Caenorhabditis elegans: one gene and its partners. The protein of the gene in region 3 interacts with the protein of the main gene of each other region in a pairwise test. Each region holds a gene or a part of one and is shown on either strand. Other genes may lie near its edges. The genes, in order: T06E6.10, abu-10, gpd-3 and nekl-2.

Region 1 (4,475 bases), on a different chromosome or scaffold from region 3:
GAAAACTGAATAAATCTCCCAATAAAAAAATGTGGTCATTTATATGCCTGAAGGTCAGTTTTTTGATTGAACTCTAATAGTAAGCTTCTGGCACCTAGAAAAATTTTGCAATAAAATTATGAAAGCGCTTAAAATTTGAAACAAACCCCCGGAGAAACATTTTCAAAAAAGTTAATTTTAAGTCAGCTATTAATTTTTAAACTTATGAAAACTGAGTGTTTGGTGTTGAAAAACTCATTTTTTTAGAATTTGAAATAAATGTTCATTGGCAGCTGAACTGGGAAATTCCGTGATGGTTTTGATACTATTTATGTATATGAAACAATTAGTTCATGAATAATTTTTTTGAAAATGTTCAGTATATTAACTAAAAATAAAGCACACACGAGCGTTATAATAAATAAGTTTTGCTAGATTTGTTAGATTCCAAAAAAGTAATGCCATATTTTGTACGAAACTGTGATTTTTGTTTCTGGGTGTTAGAAAACACCTGTCGAAACTTCAATATAAAATACTCCTTAAAAGCTCAGGTGAAACTTAAAAGTCTTATTGATCCCATTCTACTTTTTGATTCAAAAATGATGTTTATGGAAAGTCCGGATTTCTTATTTTATTCTCTACATGGAATGGGAGCTGTCACTTGCCCTCTCCAAATACTCGGTCTTTATTGCATTCTATTCAAAACACCACAAACAATGAATTCTGTCAAATGGGTACTTTTGAATTCTCATATTTGGTCCCTTATCTTCGATATAACAGTTACTGCACTAACCATCACATTTCTAGTTTTTCCAGTTCTCGGAACAGTTCCACTAGGTTTTCTAACGACATTATTCGGAGTTCCAATTGATATTCAGGCATATTTGGTGTTCACACTTCTATTCAGTATGACGCCACTCATTTTCAAACTCCACTTTTTAATCAAATTAATCTCAACTTTCAGCGGTCTTGTTCTCAGACATGCTGATCTTCGAAAATCGCTACTATCAATTATTTGCAAAAAACAAAAGTTGGCGGCACTTTCGCGTTCCATTCATTATCATTAATTATGGTGCCGTTGGAATTTTCATGCTTCCGACGTTTTTGAATACTCCTGATCAGTTACAAGCTATTGATTTAGCTTTCAAGGTGACCGTTTATTTGTAGTAGTAGCTGAACTAGGCTTTCTATATATGCTCCGACGAGGCGCTTCCGCCTGCCTTCGAGTTCCATCATCGGCTTTACGCCGTCACTAACGCCACCAGTTAGAACAAACTTAAAACTTTCTAGGTGAGAGATAGCTGACAATGTGCCGGGTAAATTTGGCATATGTTTATGTTAAGTTATCATAATTGAAATAAGTATAAACATGCATTTTAGCCAAATTATGAACAGTATATTTCAGCAAGTTCCGAACCTTCCCGTTGAACTCAGATCCATGAACTTTTTCATATGGGCAACAGATTTCAAACTTTTTCTGGGATCTTTCATCTTCATCACAGCATTTCAACTTACGGAATTTGTTCCTTTGATTTTAATAACTGATTGGAATGTGAGATCGTCAATCAAGAAATCAACGCAGTCACGGCAAACAATGCAACTTCAGTTGAAGTTCTTAATGGCTTTATATGCACAGGTGAGCCAAAAAAAAAACTCTCACCAAAGTTGAAATAATAAATTCAGAGCGGGGCATTTTTCTTGACTTGTTTTACTCCATACGTATATATGTTGTATTCTTGTTTCACAAACTACTACAATCCCATTGCCAACAATTTTATTTTCATTTTTGTGGCAGCACGTGGATCGTTCTGCACGGTAATTCTGCTCTCGGCATATAAGCCTTATAAGAAAGCAGTAGTCAATATCTTCCGGTTAATTAGCTCCTCGATCGGTTGTTTCAAAACTCAGCCAATTGTGAATCCAATAGGAATAATTATATCTAATCAAAATACTTCTTTGTTTTGATATATTGTATTCTAAAAAGCTAGCAAAAAAATGTTGCCAGTATACATTGTACCACTATAAATCACATTGAAAATCTACATGAAAACATTTTTCCGGTCCAGCCTAATTTTCAGTTTGAATTGTGGCTCATGAAACTTCTAATATGTTAATTTGTTATCAATTGATTCAATATTACACACAGACACGACAGTTGTCTTCAATAAACGTTTTAATTTTCTTCTTTTTTTTCACATAGCCCAACTGACCTTCTTGAACTTTGTTCAGCCAATTTTTTTTCATTACAAGCAGGCTTAGAGAGAGAGACAGATATTTCTTCTTCAACGAGTGATGTTTCTGACTTGTGATTTGTTACCTTCATCAGTAAACGGGCGACATAGTGTACGCCTAATCTTTTTTTTTAATATAAAAATATATATTTGAATTCATTTGTTATAAACTATTAAAAAATGTTTTATAGAATCGTTTTTAAAAAATACCATAAAATTTATAAAAACTTAATACAATTCAATTTTTTAGGTGATTCTGGTGCTACTAGCCATGATTTTGTTGATACTTCTGAGCTCTTTGATCATGGGAGCAAGTACAGGTGAGAGTTTTGAAAAATGTGCCTGCAACTGACATACAACCTTTTTTCAGGAAAAACTGGAATAACTTGCGCCAATGTTAGATGTGGAAGCCCTGGAGGCTGTGGAATGGTTGCTAGTTGCCCGGACTGTGAGCCAGGACCAGAGTGCTTGGAAAAGAATGGTAAGCGGTTCGGAGAAAAAAAACGTATTTTAAATTCAAAAATTTCAGATTGCAATACCAAAAGCTGTGCTCCAACAGAGGAATGTGTATTGGTCCAAGTAACCTGTATTATGGCGCCATGGTGGGAATTTTTTAAACGAAACTATTTTTAGTGATTTTTAAAAATGACCGGTAAGATGTCGGCTGCGAGGGATAAAATAACAAATTCTCCATTTTTTAAAACTAATTTTCAAATGATCCGAAAATCAATGAGTTTTAGCTACCCAATCGCTGAATGTCGTCCGAAAAAAACACAAATCCGCAAGCGTCGTCAAGTGGGAACAAGTTGTAAAGATGTTCGATGTGACACGCCAGCCGGATGTGCGATGGTTAGGCCAAGTGGATGTATGGATTCGCCTACAATGACCGGATGCGAGCTTAAACCGACTTGTATTCATGTAAATGGTGAGTGCTTGGAAGATTTCAGCTGCTGCACTTAATAAGTCGGTCGCAACTTCTTAGGTGCCAGCTTCTACCCTCAATGTGTCGGTGGCGTATTTCTGAATTTCCAGCTTGTACAACCACAAAATGTTCACCCGGCAAGAAGTGTGCTCTTCACACTGTTCAATGCTTTACCACACCCTGGTAGGTACTTTTTTTTAAAATTGTTTTTATTGTTCATGTTCCAGTGACCCAGTAGCAAAATGCGAGACTCCACTTAACTTTTTATCGGAGCCATTCAATCCAGGATGCGGTCCGAATGAGCATTTTGTTGGGTGCAAAAATATTTGCTCTGACACCAAGTGCAATGAAAAACGGGTACGTGGATCAATGAAAAATTCGAGAAAAACAATTTTTGCAGAAAATGTGCCCAGCGGTGTGCACTTTTCCCGGATGCGTCTGTCTGAATGGATTTTTCCGCGATAAACATGACAAATGTGTTACCCAGGAAGAGTGTGATGAGCAGAAGAGGAAAAGTATTAAATCGTAACTAGAAAGAACTTTTTTATTTCCAAATATTTTGCTGAAACTATAATAAACTGCCCAATTTTTTCTAAAGTTGCCAAATGGATTTTCAGATGTTGTTTTCTGTAAACCTTCAAGGCTCAAGTAATCATTGTGTTTGACTTTGCCAGTTTCGTTAAGAAAATGCCATAAAAGAGGACGATTTTGAACGTATAAACTCCAATGTGCTCAAATTGGCGAATTTTGAATTGAGACTTCTCAATATTTTTTAAAAATGATCTAATGGCCGAGTCTATACGTTCAAATTTCCTCCGAACCATTAGTCCTCCTATAATTCCAGGATTCCAAAAACGGTACGTGATCTTGAAACATTATGATTTCTGTTTCTCGGTGCACGGAAACATCTGTCGCAATACTTTAACCACCAAAACGAGGTACGCCTCTGAAGCTCAGGTGAAATTCAACTCAAGTTGTATGAAAATTAATCTCCTTCATATTATATTGAAAAATTATGTTTATGGAAAGCCCGGACTTTCTTTTCTATACTCTACACAGTATGGGCGCTTTTACGTGACCTCTTCAAGTATTTGGACTTTATTGTATTCTATTCAAAACTCCACAAGCAATGAAATCGGTAAAATGGGTTCTATTCAATGCTCATATTTGGTCTATCCTATTTGATATATCACTTACTGCATTAACCATTCCATTTCTAGTGTTCCCAGTTCTCGGAGCAGTCCCTTTAGGCTTTTTAACGACATTATTCGGAGTTCCAATTGGCATTCAGGCGTATTTGGTGTTTACACTTTTATTCGGTATGACATTAATTATGTTTAATT
Region 2 (4,508 bases), 690 kb from region 3:
AATGGTCACAAGTTAATTTTTTTTTTAATAAATAGAAACCGTGTACTCCACTGACAATCAGGCAAAAAAAAAACAGTTTCTGGAAATAATAGAAGATTTTGTTATACTTTTGTAATAAAGTTACACGCACTAGTGGACAAAAATGAAGACTACAGCAAACTTCAGTCATTTTTTTTTTATTTTTGAAAACATTTTGAAAAATTTCAAAAAGTTTCTTACAAAATCTTTTCATCTTGTGAAAAGGCTTGCAGCTACACCGTAGATCCATATTTAAAAATAACAGAAGGTTTTGTTTTATAGAGAAACCATTCACAATAAATACTAATACCTTGATGTTAATTATGAAAAAGTCAGAACTCCATGTTTCTTACGTGAAAAAAAACACTGAAAAAAACATTGTTGACCATTTTCAGAAAATAAAATTTAATGGAAACATACTTTTAGTGAATGAGTATTTAATGTAAAACTAGATCACCCTCCCCCCCCCCCCCTCCCAGCAAACTTTTGAGCTCATCCCAATGGTCTGAAAACACGCATAATTCGAAAACGTTCCTCATCACATCAAACGAACATATATTTCAAGTACATGCGTTTTTGCGGGCACACTGATAAAACAGAGCCGGCACAGAGTGCTCACGTACCGGTTCTCGTACGTTGCTCAACTCTCCTGTAACATGACCACCCCTGAGCTTTTAATCCGATTCCGGCGCAACTTTTTGTGCTGCTTTCCTTCATCCTCAGACACAAACATTGCAACCTTTTATCCAGCCGGCAATCGAACTCAACTCAACCCCTCAACCGGTATCTAAAGTAAAGGCAAGCGGTCTGAGTAATGAAGAATGTGATAATTGGGGTTCTTTGTATTTGTTTGTTGGGAGGGAGAAGAATCAACGAGAGATTGTGCAAATGCAACAGCTGAAAGCGTTAACCAGTTTCTCAGCTTGTATTCTTCTATGACGCGGTCTCTATTTACGGACTATTTGCAAATAACGCATCACTTGAACTTTTCAATGCAAGTGTTCGGAGATTGAAAGTTCTGTGTCACTACATTCACGTATTGTTGAAAACTATAACGGATATATTACAAGACGGTCTAGACAAAAATTGGGAAAAAAAGCTCTACTGAAAATGGGATATTAAACTACTACCTTTCAGAAATACTTTCAGAACAATATTACTTGATACAAAAGAAAGATCTTCAAAATAGCTTGCTGGTACTCCAACTAAAAAGATATAATAATCAATTTTTTTTTTACAAATCGGTGCAAAATAGTCGTTCGTTTACTAGTCATGCTTTGAAAAAATTTAAGCTTAACAATGCAACCTAACCTCGATTTTTTTCAAATTAAATTACAATTTCAAATGAGAATAAAGAGAACCTTCTACAACTTGAACATTCTGTGAACTATTGGAAAACACTGGACATTGAATGAAACAAAATTTTTAAACATTCACATTTGCGACGTTGGGCCGTTATTTATTGTCTCGAAAGAGGAAAAAAATGTCTGACAAATTGGAAAAGTACAGTAGATTCAACTGTCACACTTTTTTGTAAAGTAGGGCCTAAAATTAGTAGACTCGAGTTTTGAATTGGTGAGCCAATATCTCTCTTGACACAATTGAAGTGTTTTTAAACTGGTTAGAAGACTAGACTGAAATATATTATAGCTAACATCACTTTGGATAGTATGCGTCTTCGGCAAAATTTCATGTGCGCAAGAAGCCAAAAACAAACAATGTTTATTTGTGTGCACGCATTTTTTCAGCACACGGTTTTCATTTTCTCTGACTAAACTTTTTTCCCCCTCCTTACCATATTCCCACAGGTGCTCTAATCCGATCATAACTACTCATCTGTGTTTGATGCACAATTGAAACTGCCTTCGTTCTTTTTTGTCGCCTGTTCTTGCGCATGCCGGTCTTACCCTCTTGCCATGACTCCTCCCGGCGGGCGCGTATAAATATGAGGAGCAAAAGTTGAGTTGTCAGTAGTAGCTTGGCTTCGAATACTCTCTAACAAAAGCAGCAATGTTCCGCTCTGCATTTTCAATTTTTGCTATTGTCGCCCTGGTGAGATTTCTTTTTTTTTTCATTCCATTTTATTTATAAATTCCCCGCCATTTTCAGGCACTTTCGGCACCAACTCTTAGAGAAAAGCGTCAGGCTTGCTCATGCGCCCCAGTTCAGCAGCAACCATCGTGCTGCCAACAATCCACCATCAATGTCCAGGTTCAGTACACTCAGGTCCAACAAGCTCCAGCTCAAGACCCATGTGCTTGCCAGCCACAGCAGCAGCAGCCTGCGTGCAACTGTGCTCCAGTTCAGCAAGATCCATGTGCTTGCCAGCCACAACAGCAGCAGCCGGCTTGTAACTGTGCTCCAGTTCAACAAGATCCATGCGCCTGCCAGCAACAGCAACCATCCTGCGATTGCGCTCCAGTTCAACAGCAACCAGCCTGTGACTGCCAGGTAGGCTGTTAATGTAAGAGCGACGAATAAAAGTAACCCATCTTTGCAGCCACAACAACAACCAGCCTGTGATTGTGCTCCAGTTGCTCAACAACCAGCTTGTGACTGCCAACAAAACCCATCATGTGTGACCTGCATCCAAATCGAGATCCGTCAGCAACAAGCTCAACAGCCAGCTTGCGATTGTGCTCCAGTTCAGCAGAACCCATGTTGCCAACAAGCTCAGGTACAATATATTTGGTAAATGTTGGATGAACTTTTGAAGTTTCAGCCAGCCTGTGATTGCGCTCCAGTCCAACAGCAACCATCTTGCGATTGCGCTCCAGTTCAACAGAACCCATGCTGCCAACAAGCTCAGGTATGGCATTTTGAACAATTTTTTTTAGTCCGGTAATTTCAGCCAGCCTGCGACTGTGCCCCAGTCCAACAGCAACCAGCCTGTGATTGTGCTCCAGTCCAGCAGAACCCATGCTGCCAACAACAGGCTCAGGTAAATCACACTCCAGAGTTTTCCATTAAGTTTGTGAATTACAGTCAACTTGCGACTGTGCCCCAGTTCAACAGAACCCGTGCTGCCAACAAGCTCAGCCAGCTTGTGATTGTGCCCCAGTTGTTCAGCAAAACCCATGCGCTTGCCAACAGGCTCAGGTAAAGACTATTGCTTTTTGACCAGTAAATTAACTATGGATATCTAAACTTCCAGCCATCCTGTGATTGCGCCCAACAAGCTCAGCCAACCTTCCAAGTCCAAGTTCAACAAGCGCAACCAATCAATCAGTGCGTCCCAGCTTGCCAGCCAGCTTGCCAGTCATCGTGCACCGCTTCGTACACCAACCAACAATCCCAACATTCGTCAGCTACTACTTCCTGCGATGCTAACCAATGCGTATGCCAACGCGGATACGTCAAGTGCGCCGAGCAGACCTGCTGTCTTAGATACAGATACACCAACCGCAAGGCAAAGCGATCGATCGCCTAAACGAACTCATTTCTGACCATGTCTTTCTTTTTCGACTTCACGCAAACTATTTGTACATTTCGGTAATATTATTGCCATTACATAAAGTAGTTTTATATTATTTCCTTTTACACAATGAGTATATGCAATGAAGATATAAATGAAAAAATGATTAAGAATCATTTCTATGATGTTCAAATTACCAATTTTCGTCTAAATTACAACAAAATCACTGAAAAAGATTTGAGAAAAATGCAATTTTCTTTTAGGAAACTCTATTTGAAGTTTGAAAACCAGAAGATTTTCACAAAGGGTTGGTTCTATCATTATCTAAAACAGCAATCGTAGAAGAGATTTGAGAGTTTTCTTCAAAACTAAACTTTTTATATTGTGTTCAATATTGTTAACGAATTTTTGATCTTTAAATTTCCCATTTATTTTAAATCTAAATAACCTATACAATAATAAGCGCATTTGAGGAGTCAAATAAATAGACACATTTCAATTGAGATCTTCCACAATAAATAAGACACCTTACTAAAACATTTTTGGCACATGAACAAAGTACTAAGACAATAAATTAATGAATGCAGCGTTTCTAGAGCAGCTCAATATAGCTGACAGGCAATTTTCCGCGTTTTCCTCCTTTTTCAGCCATCACATATTCCGCATCCATTCCAGGAAGGCGATACACGATGAGAATCTGCAACAAGAGCAGACGTAATTTCACACAATATTTGGTTTCAATAGGGGTCCTCCTCTCAAGACTCACATCATTCTGGGTGACGCTGATCTCTTGTGGCAGCACTGCATCGTAGTCCATGATCACTTTGGCTTGCTTGGTTCCCAAGTCATCCGGCAGTAGGCCACTTGGCTGGAAAATCAGTAATTTGAAGAGATGTTCGTGATGGGAAATAATTGAAAATCACTGGAACGGAAACAACGCTTTCCACGAAGTTCTTCCCCAACTAACCTTGGCCGCCGCTATTGCCGCCGCCATAGTCCTTCCGTTTGGCGGGTCGCCACTATTGTTCACCAGTATTGCCGAGCTTCCGCGAAATGACATGGTGCTGAAAGCAAT
Region 3 (4,355 bases):
TTCGCTTCTCTTTACTTTTGGAGCCATGCTCATATAATCCAGTTAGTTCATTTCCAGGAAATCAAAACAGATGTCAGGATCTGGAAGTGGAAGTGGTGCTGGACATGGTGGAGGCTCCGGCGGCTCAATCCGTGAAGCAGGTGGATCACTCGGCATGATGGGCGCCACCAGAGAAGAAGAATACTTCCGAAGACAACAAAAAGATCAGTTGGACAATCTCAAGAAGAAGCTTGAAGCAGATATGACGCAAAGCCAACAGGAAATTCGGGATCATGAAAAGGTACGAGACACTCCATTTAAGGAAAACACGCAGGAAAATATTGTTGTTGATTAACTCGTTATTCTTTGATGTGTCACATGACACTGCCGAAACTCTTATCTGCGAAAGTGGCGTGTTCTAGAACTGATTCAAAATAGACCGGGGACTCCTTTCGAATCTCTCTATTTTACACAGTTGACCTTGATATGTTAGAGAGACGGGCGACTAGCGAGCATAATGAAGAGATAGATTGGTTTTCACAAACAATCTCTTTTTTTTTGTTTTCCACTACCTTTCAACGTTCTTCAATACTTTCATTTCAGGTTCTCGAACAACATCAGCAACGACTGAAGGAAATCGAGAAAGGACACGGAACATAAAAAATAGAGGGCTTTTCAAACGGCTCTCTGTTCTTTTTGCATCATCATTTTCAATTTTCCCTTTCTTTTTATGCATACTTATTCTCTCCTCTCTATTTTCTCTCTCACACCGCATTTCTTCATCTTGCCTATTGCATCATTTTTTTTTCGCTTACTGCACATGTTTCGTCAAATAGTAAACATGGTTTTTATGGCTTCACTTCATATTCTTCTCTCTTCAATTTGATTCGATTTTCATTTCGATCATTCTATTTTTATTTGTCGTTTGTATGTTAGTTGAACTGATTGTAGTAGTATCAATTTTCAGCCATGCCAAAGCCAAGTGTCGGAATCAACGGATTCGGAAGAATCGGACGTCTTGTCCTCCGCGCCGCTGTCGAGAAGGACAGTGTCAACGTTGTTGCCGTCAACGATCCATTCATCTCCATCGACTACATGGTCTACTTGTTCCAGTACGACTCCACCCACGGACGCTTCAAGGGAACCGTTGCTCACGAGGGAGACTACCTTCTTGTCGCCAAGGAAGGGAAGTCGCAGCACAAGATCAAGGTAGAATATTTTCCAAACATATTTTGTTAAACATTCTCTTAAATTTCAGGTCTACAACTCAAGAGACCCAGCTGAAATCCAATGGGGAGCCTCTGGAGCCGACTATGTCGTTGAGTCCACCGGAGTCTTCACCACCATCGAGAAGGCCAACGCTCACTTGAAGGGAGGAGCCAAGAAGGTAACTTGTAATCAACTTTTGTGCATAAATATATTTAAATTTTTAGGTCATCATCTCTGCTCCATCTGCTGATGCTCCAATGTTCGTCGTCGGAGTCAACCACGAGAAGTACGATCATGCCAACGACCACATCATCTCCAATGCTTCCTGCACCACTAACTGCCTTGCTCCACTTGCCAAGGTCATCAATGACAACTTCGGAATTATTGAGGGACTTATGACCACTGTCCACGCCGTCACCGCCACCCAAAAGACTGTTGACGGACCATCAGGAAAGCTCTGGAGAGACGGACGTGGAGCTGGACAGAACATCATCCCAGCCTCTACTGGAGCCGCTAAGGCTGTTGGAAAGGTTATCCCAGAGCTCAATGGAAAGCTCACCGGAATGGCTTTCCGTGTCCCAACCCCAGATGTGTCTGTTGTTGATCTCACTGCTCGTCTTGAGAAGCCAGCTTCCCTCGATGACATCAAGAAAGTTATCAAGGCTGCCGCTGACGGACCAATGAAGGGAATTCTCGCTTACACTGAGGATCAAGTTGTCTCCACCGACTTTGTCTCCGATACCAACTCTTCCATCTTCGATGCCGGAGCATCCATCTCACTCAACCCACACTTCGTCAAGCTCGTCTCGTGGTACGATAACGAGTTCGGATACTCCAACAGAGTTGTTGATCTCATCTCGTACATCGCCACCAAGGCCTAAGCTGTCTCATCCTACTTTCACCTAGTTAACTGCTTGTCTTAAAATCTATGCTTCTCTTTAGTATCTAAAATTTTCCTAGAAGCTTACAAGTATATAAATGGTCTCTTCTCAATAAAGGTTGTATATTTATTCATCTTATTGAATCTGCCATTTCCTCGTTTTTGCGAGTTTATATACCTTCCAATTTTCTTTCTATTGTATTTTCAACTTCTAATTTTAATTCAGGGAAACTGCTTCAACGCATCATGACCAAGCCAAGTGTCGGAATCAACGGATTCGGAAGAATCGGACGTCTTGTCCTCCGCGCCGCTGTCGAGAAGGACAGTGTCAATGTTGTTGCCGTCAACGATCCATTCATCTCCATCGACTACATGGTCTACTTGTTCCAGTACGATTCCACTCACGGACGCTTCAAGGGAACCGTTGCCCACGAGGGAGACTACCTTCTTGTCGCCAAGGAAGGAAAGTCCCAGCACAAGATCAAGGTAGAATTATTTCCAATTAGATTTCACCTAATATTCTATTCAATTTCAGGTCTACAACTCAAGAGACCCAGCTGAGATCCAATGGGGAGCCTCTGGAGCCGACTATGTCGTTGAGTCCACCGGAGTCTTCACCACCATCGAGAAGGCCAATGCTCACTTGAAGGGAGGAGCCAAGAAGGTAAATTAGTGATTTAATTTTTCAAGATAAATATATTTAAATTTCAGGTCATCATCTCTGCTCCATCTGCTGATGCTCCAATGTTCGTCGTCGGAGTCAACCACGAGAAGTACGATCATGCCAACGACCACATCATCTCCAATGCTTCCTGCACCACTAACTGCCTTGCTCCACTTGCCAAGGTCATCAATGACAACTTCGGAATTATTGAGGGACTTATGACCACTGTCCACGCCGTCACCGCCACCCAAAAGACTGTTGACGGACCATCAGGAAAGCTCTGGAGAGACGGACGTGGAGCTGGACAAAACATCATCCCAGCCTCTACTGGAGCCGCTAAGGCTGTCGGCAAGGTTATCCCAGAGCTCAATGGAAAGCTCACCGGAATGGCTTTCCGTGTCCCAACCCCAGATGTCTCTGTTGTTGATCTCACTGCTCGTCTTGAGAAGCCAGCTTCCCTCGATGACATTAAGAAGGTTATCAAGGCTGCCGCTGACGGACCAATGAAGGGAATTCTCGCTTACACCGAGGATCAAGTTGTCTCCACTGACTTTGTCTCCGATACCAACTCTTCCATCTTCGATGCCGGAGCATCCATCTCACTCAACCCACACTTTGTCAAGCTCGTCTCATGGTACGATAACGAGTTCGGATACTCCAACAGAGTCGTCGACCTTATCTCCTACATTGCTACCAAGGCCTAAGCCGCTTCAAATTCTCTAAGTCTGAAATGAATCTGTAACATAATAAATTCCACATTATTGTAACTTTGATTCTCATTTTCTTTATAAGAATAAATCTTTTAGCTGGAGTAACTAAAACTGTGTTGTTGGATAGAAAGCATTTTTCAATGGCTATATCAAATTTGAAACGTTGAATTCGAACCTTTCACGAGGTTTACACTCATTTATATTCTTCGTTGTGATTGTCCGTCATACAAACCCGATTAAGTTTCCGTCTAGCCTCTATGTTTACATTAAATTGAGAAGCGATGAGAAGTGTCCAGTGTAGAGTGCAATGTGCACTCAAAATGTCGGCACATTGTCACTTTGCTAACATTTTTCCCAGAGTCATTTGGGATACTTGTGTAGTCCCAAAAAATATTAACTATTAAGCTTAGGATTAGTGCTTTTCTAAGCCTGAATAGAAAACTTATTGGAAACAATTTTTGGTCACTTATGTAGTAGATGTATCACAATATATTTTCATAGGATAACTTTTTGTAATGGTAAACTCGTGAGAAATAATTATTTGTAGACCTAAAAATTCCAGATTTAATTTTAAAAATTTAATAATATTTTGGGGTACTTCTACTTTTCATCTACCTTTCCATATTTGATATTTCATTCGCAATTATACAATCTCAGAAAATTCCTATGGTCACGTTATTCTTTGTCGTAGACAGTTGAAAGATGAAGGAAAAAACGAGAATAGATATCACAAAGTCACGTGGCAAAATCCATCAACCTGTTGTTAGTGACGTTATTTTTTGCCTCAAAATGCGGGAAACGATGTACGCATGACTCTGACGAAGTCTGCCTGCTTCTACGGGTACACTTGAAATGAAGCATAGAAAGCTGGCTGCGTTTTTTTCTTGTTTCGCTTCACGCCGTTTTTCTTTTT
Region 4 (5,028 bases), on a different chromosome or scaffold from region 3:
CTCCCTTTTCCACTAGTTTATCCTCTACCGATCCACCGTTACAAAGCTCCAGAACCAGCAAGTATGGAATATCATCAACAATGTATCCATAGAACTTTACAATATTTGGATGGTCATAGAGTTGCATAACTCTCGCTTCCTTCATCATCTCGGCTAATGATTCTTCGTCGTTTCCTTCAGTGTCAAGTTTTTTTACAGCAATTTTGGTATTGTTCTTGGTGAGACGGCCAAGATAGACGGTTCCGTAGGCTCCACTACCAAGCTGAAAATTAAGGTTTTCAGGTATTGAAGCCTCTTTCATTAATAATTAATACCTTCTTTTTAAAGTCCACATCTTTATGCATTAATTGGAACTTTCCCTTGGGAATCGCACGTTTCAAGATCACCCGTTCTCCTTTGATTTCCATAGTTTCTTTTTGCATTGAGTCAACCAGCTTCCCAATATTAGGAGCTGATTTTCCCTGAAAACAATATTAAATTTGTTAGTTAGAAGTACGGTGCATGCATACCCCAATCTTTGCAGAAGTCGGATTCCGTTTGATTTCGAAACGACGTATTCCTTTTTTCAAACGAACAGCCAAGTAGAGTTGCTGAAATAAATTCACTTTTGAAGATTATTTAAACTAAATTGGCAAACCATTTTGTTCAATTCCTGATTCATTTTTACAACAATCATGTAGTCACCGTCATTCTGAAAAAAATTAAAATCGTTTATGTTGAAAAATCCAACGTTCTTCAAATTTGAAACCAATTCCATCTGGAAATCCATCTAGACAGTTATTGTGTTCACCAGGACCCTTGTAAGATCGCTGTAGACGCTCATCACGTTACGTTTGTGTTGAGCGCGTGCTCGCGATAGGTCCATTGTGGTCACTGATTGAGTCAATATGTGTACAGTGGATACGAAATGACATAAGATCCACGGATAAAGCGCCCTCTAAATTGTCACTTACAACTAGAAGCTGATCAGCATCCTGGTTCATGAGTGCACCATGATAATACGGTAGGTTAATGTCCTCTTCAAGAATCCTGAATTCATGAAGATTTTAACAACAACCGCATTTAAATTCAACTCACTTTTCTTTGTTAGCCATTTCCGCGTTGGATAAAAACTAAGAACTGAACTTGGAGCGAAGTTCAAAACCTTTTTATTGAAAGGTGGAGGGGGGAGGGAATGAGTTCACGTTGTCATCATTTTATTAAAATTAAAATCAATTTTTCAAACAAAGAATTCTTTTTTTCCTATTTATTAGTATTGCCTGCAAGTCTAATTTTCAATTGGTCAGTGCATGAAAAATTTTTTATGTATCATTTTGTATCCAAGACTGCTTGTTTTTACCTACAAAAACTGCAATTTTGCCTAGAAATAAACCAGAATACTGCATAATAATAGCCAACATGACTTTTAAAAAGGCTTAAATTTGTGTGGTGTAAGCAGATAAACGGCAGTTTATTTGCAGTTAAATGGCAGATGGCACACCTCTGGTGCTATATATTTGTCCCCCCAACTAACTGCTGGCGGTCTGCCAACTTTCTGCCAATTAAAAATAGCCGTTCTATCTGTGTATCCATTGCTCCAGGTGGCCAAAGTTTTCTATTATTTCTCTAGAATTGAGTTTTTTATGCCATTTTTTTGAGGTCAAACAATCTTTTATAATTTAGAGAATATGTCTTCGAAGAGAAACATTAATTGATTTGTTTGATTGATTTCTTGCCGTTTCGTTGAAATTGTTAACCAAAATAAAGCGAACAGTGTTCGTGTGTTCGTTTTACAGGTTAAACTTATCACATGAAAAACCACTAGGATCTGTCAAAGAGACAAGTGATATATAAAAAATGCGCGGCATTTTTCAATGACTTCCCCAATCCCTTTGATAATAAACCTGTTCTTTCAGAGAGACGCAGAAGAAGAACACCGTCGGTTATTGATTATTTTTCACTGATTAGTCACGTCTTCACATTTTTCTAGAATTTATAGTTTTGAATCCTATCTATTCAAATATTATTTTCAAATGGACAATTATGAAAAAGTGCGTGTCGTCGGACGTGGTGCTTTTGGAGTTTGTTGGCTGTGTCGCGGTAAAAATGATGCATCACATCAAAAGGTTAGTCAGACAATTGTAATAGTTTCGTTGGACTCTTTTACATTTGAAGCCTGGTATGGTTTAATTTAGGGAAAATAATCAATTTTTAGAAATACTTATTTTATTGGAAAATCAGTTTTTTTTTCAAATAGCAGTACTGTGTTATAATCTACTAACTTTATAATTTAATTTTTCAGGTAATTATAAAACTCATCAATACTCACGGAATGACTGAAAAAGAGGAAAATAGCATTCAGAGTGAAGTAAATTTGTTGAAAAAAGTTCAACATCCATTAATAATCGGGTATATTGATTCTTTTATTATGGATAATCAACTTGGAATTGGTAAGTAAATTTAATTTTAAAATTGAATTAAAATTCGATATGTTCAGTTATGCAGTACGCGGAAGGAGGAACATTAGAGAGATTAATAAATGATCAGAGAGCGATTAAAGATTCAAACATGAGAGAATATTTTCCCGAAAAAACTGTTTTAGATTATTTTACACAGGTTAGTTATCATCTTAACTTTTTACTGAAACAAATATTTTTGAAGATTCTTATTGCACTCAATCATATGCACCAGAAAAATATCGTTCATCGTGACCTTAAGCCTCAAAACATTCTTATGAATCGCCGAAAGACTGTTCTGAAGCTATCGGATTTTGGAATTTCAAAGGAGCTTGGAACGAAATCTGCAGCGTCGACTGTTATTGGAACTCCAAACTATTTAAGCCCTGAAATTTGTGAAAGTATGTCAATTTCATTTTAATAATCATGAAAATATAATATTCAGGTCGCCCGTACAATCAAAAAAGTGACATGTGGTCTTTAGGATGTGTTTTGTATGAGCTTCTTCAGCTTGAAAGAGCATTTGACGGCGAAAATTTACCAGCCATTGTAATGAAAATCACCCGGGTATGTACCAAAAAAGGATAGGTCCCAAAACCCTTGCATTGTTCCCTGATGTTAAATTTTTAAATTTAATCATGTATCACTCAATTTCCAGTCAAAGCAAAACCCGTTGGGAGATCACGTATCAAACGATGTGAAGATGTTAGTGGAAAACTTACTTAAAACACACACGGATAAGAGACCGGACGTATCACGTAAAAAAAATTTCCACACTTGGAAATGTAATCGATTAATTTTCAGAGCTGCTTTCCGATCCACTTGTTCTTCCCTATTTGATATCAATTCATTGCGATTTGGGAAGAATCGAACCTCCACCGACGGATAAGGTAATTTTTAATTGTATTAGTGTTTTGATTTAGAGAAAAATGTCATGTTTACTATCTGGCCTTAACAGGGAATCATAATTCAGTTTTAAAGAAACCATCGACGTCATGCTAGTAAAAATAAATTCCTAGCGAGTTCTGTAGGTCAAACAGCGGAAAATATAAAAGCATGCTTTTGTTCTAATCTTCTTAATTAAATACCAGATAAATTACATTCTGAAATAGTGCTGGAAAACCAAAAAATTATTGAAAAACCTCTGTAACACATCAAAAATGATCACTTGATCGCACAGAATCCGGATTTTTTTCAGCCGTACTTTGAAATGATGTTCATTACTTGTCATGAATTTTATTTTTTTCAGAGAAAGCCATCAGCTTCATTGAGCAGTCGACTTCGAACGTATCCAACACAATCAACACTTCGTCCGTATTCTTTATCATCAAATGCTCCAACTACCCATTTGACACAATTAACACCAATGCCATCTCATATTGATTCTGGATTCTTTTCAAGTGGAAGAACATCAAATCAGAGAACACAATCAAGAAGTCAAGTGCATTCAAAGTATTAACTCCTGTATTAATTGTTTGTTTCTTTAAAATTAAAATTGAAGTTATTTTTTCACATAAAAACCAATCATTCGGAAGTGGGCAAAATATCACAAATGTTACTGTACGGGAAATGAGAAAGTGGACAAAACAAAGTATGCTAGGTATGATCTTTGTACAAAAGATTACGGTAGGTGAGAACAATGTTGTGGCCGAGATTTGTAAATGAGTTTGGTCGAGCAGGTGGTTGTTCACGTTGAGGATCCAGTTCAGCATTCGGAGATCGGGTTCGGGCTCGTCTTTCTGAGGCGCGCGCATTCCTCTGTTTGAAACTGAAATATTTGGATTTTAATTCATATGTAGTGCAAGTTTTTTGCCCTAAACCTACGGTACATGTATGTTTTATTCAAGTTGACAGGCAATTGCCTTTTTAAGGTCCCTATGAGAAATGGATAACCATGGTATTATTGTAGCAAAAACCGTAACAACAAGGAGTTGAGAGTTACAGTACTCCTCAAAGCCACCCACTCGGCAAAACGGCCTAACTTCATAGCATACTCTTGCAACTTCTTAACAACAATTAGGCATTTTAGCTTTTAGGCAAACTTCTGCAGCTTTTCAGACGACTTTTGCAATTTCTTAGCAGATGTAAAGCTAAATTTCGCTCACAATCCCGTTGGTTTTCGCAACTTCTTAACAGCTTTTTACAAAGTTATATAAATGTTTTTATTAAGTTGCAGGAGTATGCTATGAAGTTGCGACGTTTTGCCGAGGCATTTCTTTGATTGTCTTTTATGTTATATCCCGTGAATATGTGACATATGTAAGTAGTTGATTTCTTTAAACTCACTTCATACTATTCCGATCACCAAGGTTTCTTGAAGTTGTTTCCAAAAATCCATTTGTATTCTGTTCTAAGCTAACCGAATGACCATATCCATCTAACCAACTTTGTCTTCTTCCTTTTGCGGAATGACTTGAAAAACATGAATCATCTGATATATCAGAACCATTTCCTATTCGAATACTCATATCACTTTCCAAACTTCCACGTGAATCTCTTGATTCTCTTCTACTTCCTCTATCTTCTAGTCTTCCATCTGCTGATAGGAATGACATCTTTCTTGAATCAGATGAGAATGAAGGACGGGCAGCGC

What was found.
Region 1: the proteins of gpd-3 (region 3) and T06E6.10 interact in a two-hybrid assay, tested with the Caenorhabditis elegans proteins (one large-scale study listed by BioGRID).
Region 2: the proteins of gpd-3 (region 3) and abu-10 interact in a two-hybrid assay, tested with the Caenorhabditis elegans proteins (one large-scale study listed by BioGRID).
Region 4: the proteins of gpd-3 (region 3) and nekl-2 interact in a two-hybrid assay, tested with the Caenorhabditis elegans proteins (one large-scale study listed by BioGRID).

What each region holds. Positions count from the first base shown.
Region 1 is NC_003283.11:15,415,673-15,420,147, forward strand, and holds T06E6.10 (TIL domain-containing protein), read left to right. Parts: upstream 1-2,449; 5' UTR 2,450-2,481; coding exon 2,482-2,530; intron 2,531-2,580; coding exon 2,581-2,691; intron 2,692-2,739; coding exon 2,740-2,812; intron 2,813-2,950; coding exon 2,951-3,135; intron 3,136-3,242; coding exon 3,243-3,315; intron 3,316-3,359; coding exon 3,360-3,489; intron 3,490-3,532; coding exon 3,533-3,661; 3' UTR 3,662-3,729; downstream 3,730-4,475. Other genes in the region: srh-265 (Serpentine Receptor, class H), read left to right, coding at 579-885, 944-1,128, 1,385-1,615, 1,663-1,944.
Region 2 is NC_003284.9:3,796,195-3,800,702, forward strand, and holds abu-10 (Activated in Blocked Unfolded protein response), read left to right. Parts: upstream 1-1,987; 5' UTR 1,988-2,028; coding exon 2,029-2,070; intron 2,071-2,127; coding exon 2,128-2,469; intron 2,470-2,518; coding exon 2,519-2,695; intron 2,696-2,740; coding exon 2,741-2,827; intron 2,828-2,869; coding exon 2,870-2,959; intron 2,960-3,003; coding exon 3,004-3,117; intron 3,118-3,172; coding exon 3,173-3,448; 3' UTR 3,449-3,547; downstream 3,548-4,508. Other genes in the region: F35A5.8 (SH3 domain-containing GRB2-like protein B1), read right to left, coding at 4,026-4,130, 4,200-4,301, 4,401-4,497.
Region 3 is NC_003284.9:3,111,281-3,115,635, reverse strand, and holds gpd-3 (Glyceraldehyde-3-phosphate dehydrogenase 3), read left to right. Parts: upstream 1-2,294; 5' UTR 2,295-2,314; coding exon 2,315-2,554; intron 2,555-2,603; coding exon 2,604-2,732; intron 2,733-2,779; coding exon 2,780-3,436; 3' UTR 3,437-3,545; downstream 3,546-4,355. Other genes in the region: mai-1 (ATPase inhibitor mai-1, mitochondrial), read left to right, coding at 71-280, 583-639; gpd-2 (Glyceraldehyde-3-phosphate dehydrogenase 2), read left to right, coding at 949-1,188, 1,238-1,366, 1,413-2,069.
Region 4 is NC_003279.8:6,661,194-6,666,221, forward strand, and holds nekl-2 (Serine/threonine-protein kinase nekl-2), read left to right. Parts: upstream 1-1,940; 5' UTR 1,941-2,012; coding exon 2,013-2,105; intron 2,106-2,281; coding exon 2,282-2,429; intron 2,430-2,476; coding exon 2,477-2,595; intron 2,596-2,640; coding exon 2,641-2,836; intron 2,837-2,880; coding exon 2,881-3,002; intron 3,003-3,093; coding exon 3,094-3,193; intron 3,194-3,239; coding exon 3,240-3,325; intron 3,326-3,684; coding exon 3,685-3,894; 3' UTR 3,895-3,967; downstream 3,968-5,028. Other genes in the region: ZC581.7 (Tyrosine-protein kinase), read right to left, coding at 1-262, 315-461, 510-590, 638-691, 954-1,029, 1,078-1,094; ZC581.9 (Protein kinase domain-containing protein), read right to left, coding at 4,032-4,203, 4,722-5,028. UniProt on the Caenorhabditis elegans protein: Probable serine/threonine-protein kinase required for the completion of molting. May play a role in endocytosis in the hypodermis syncytium.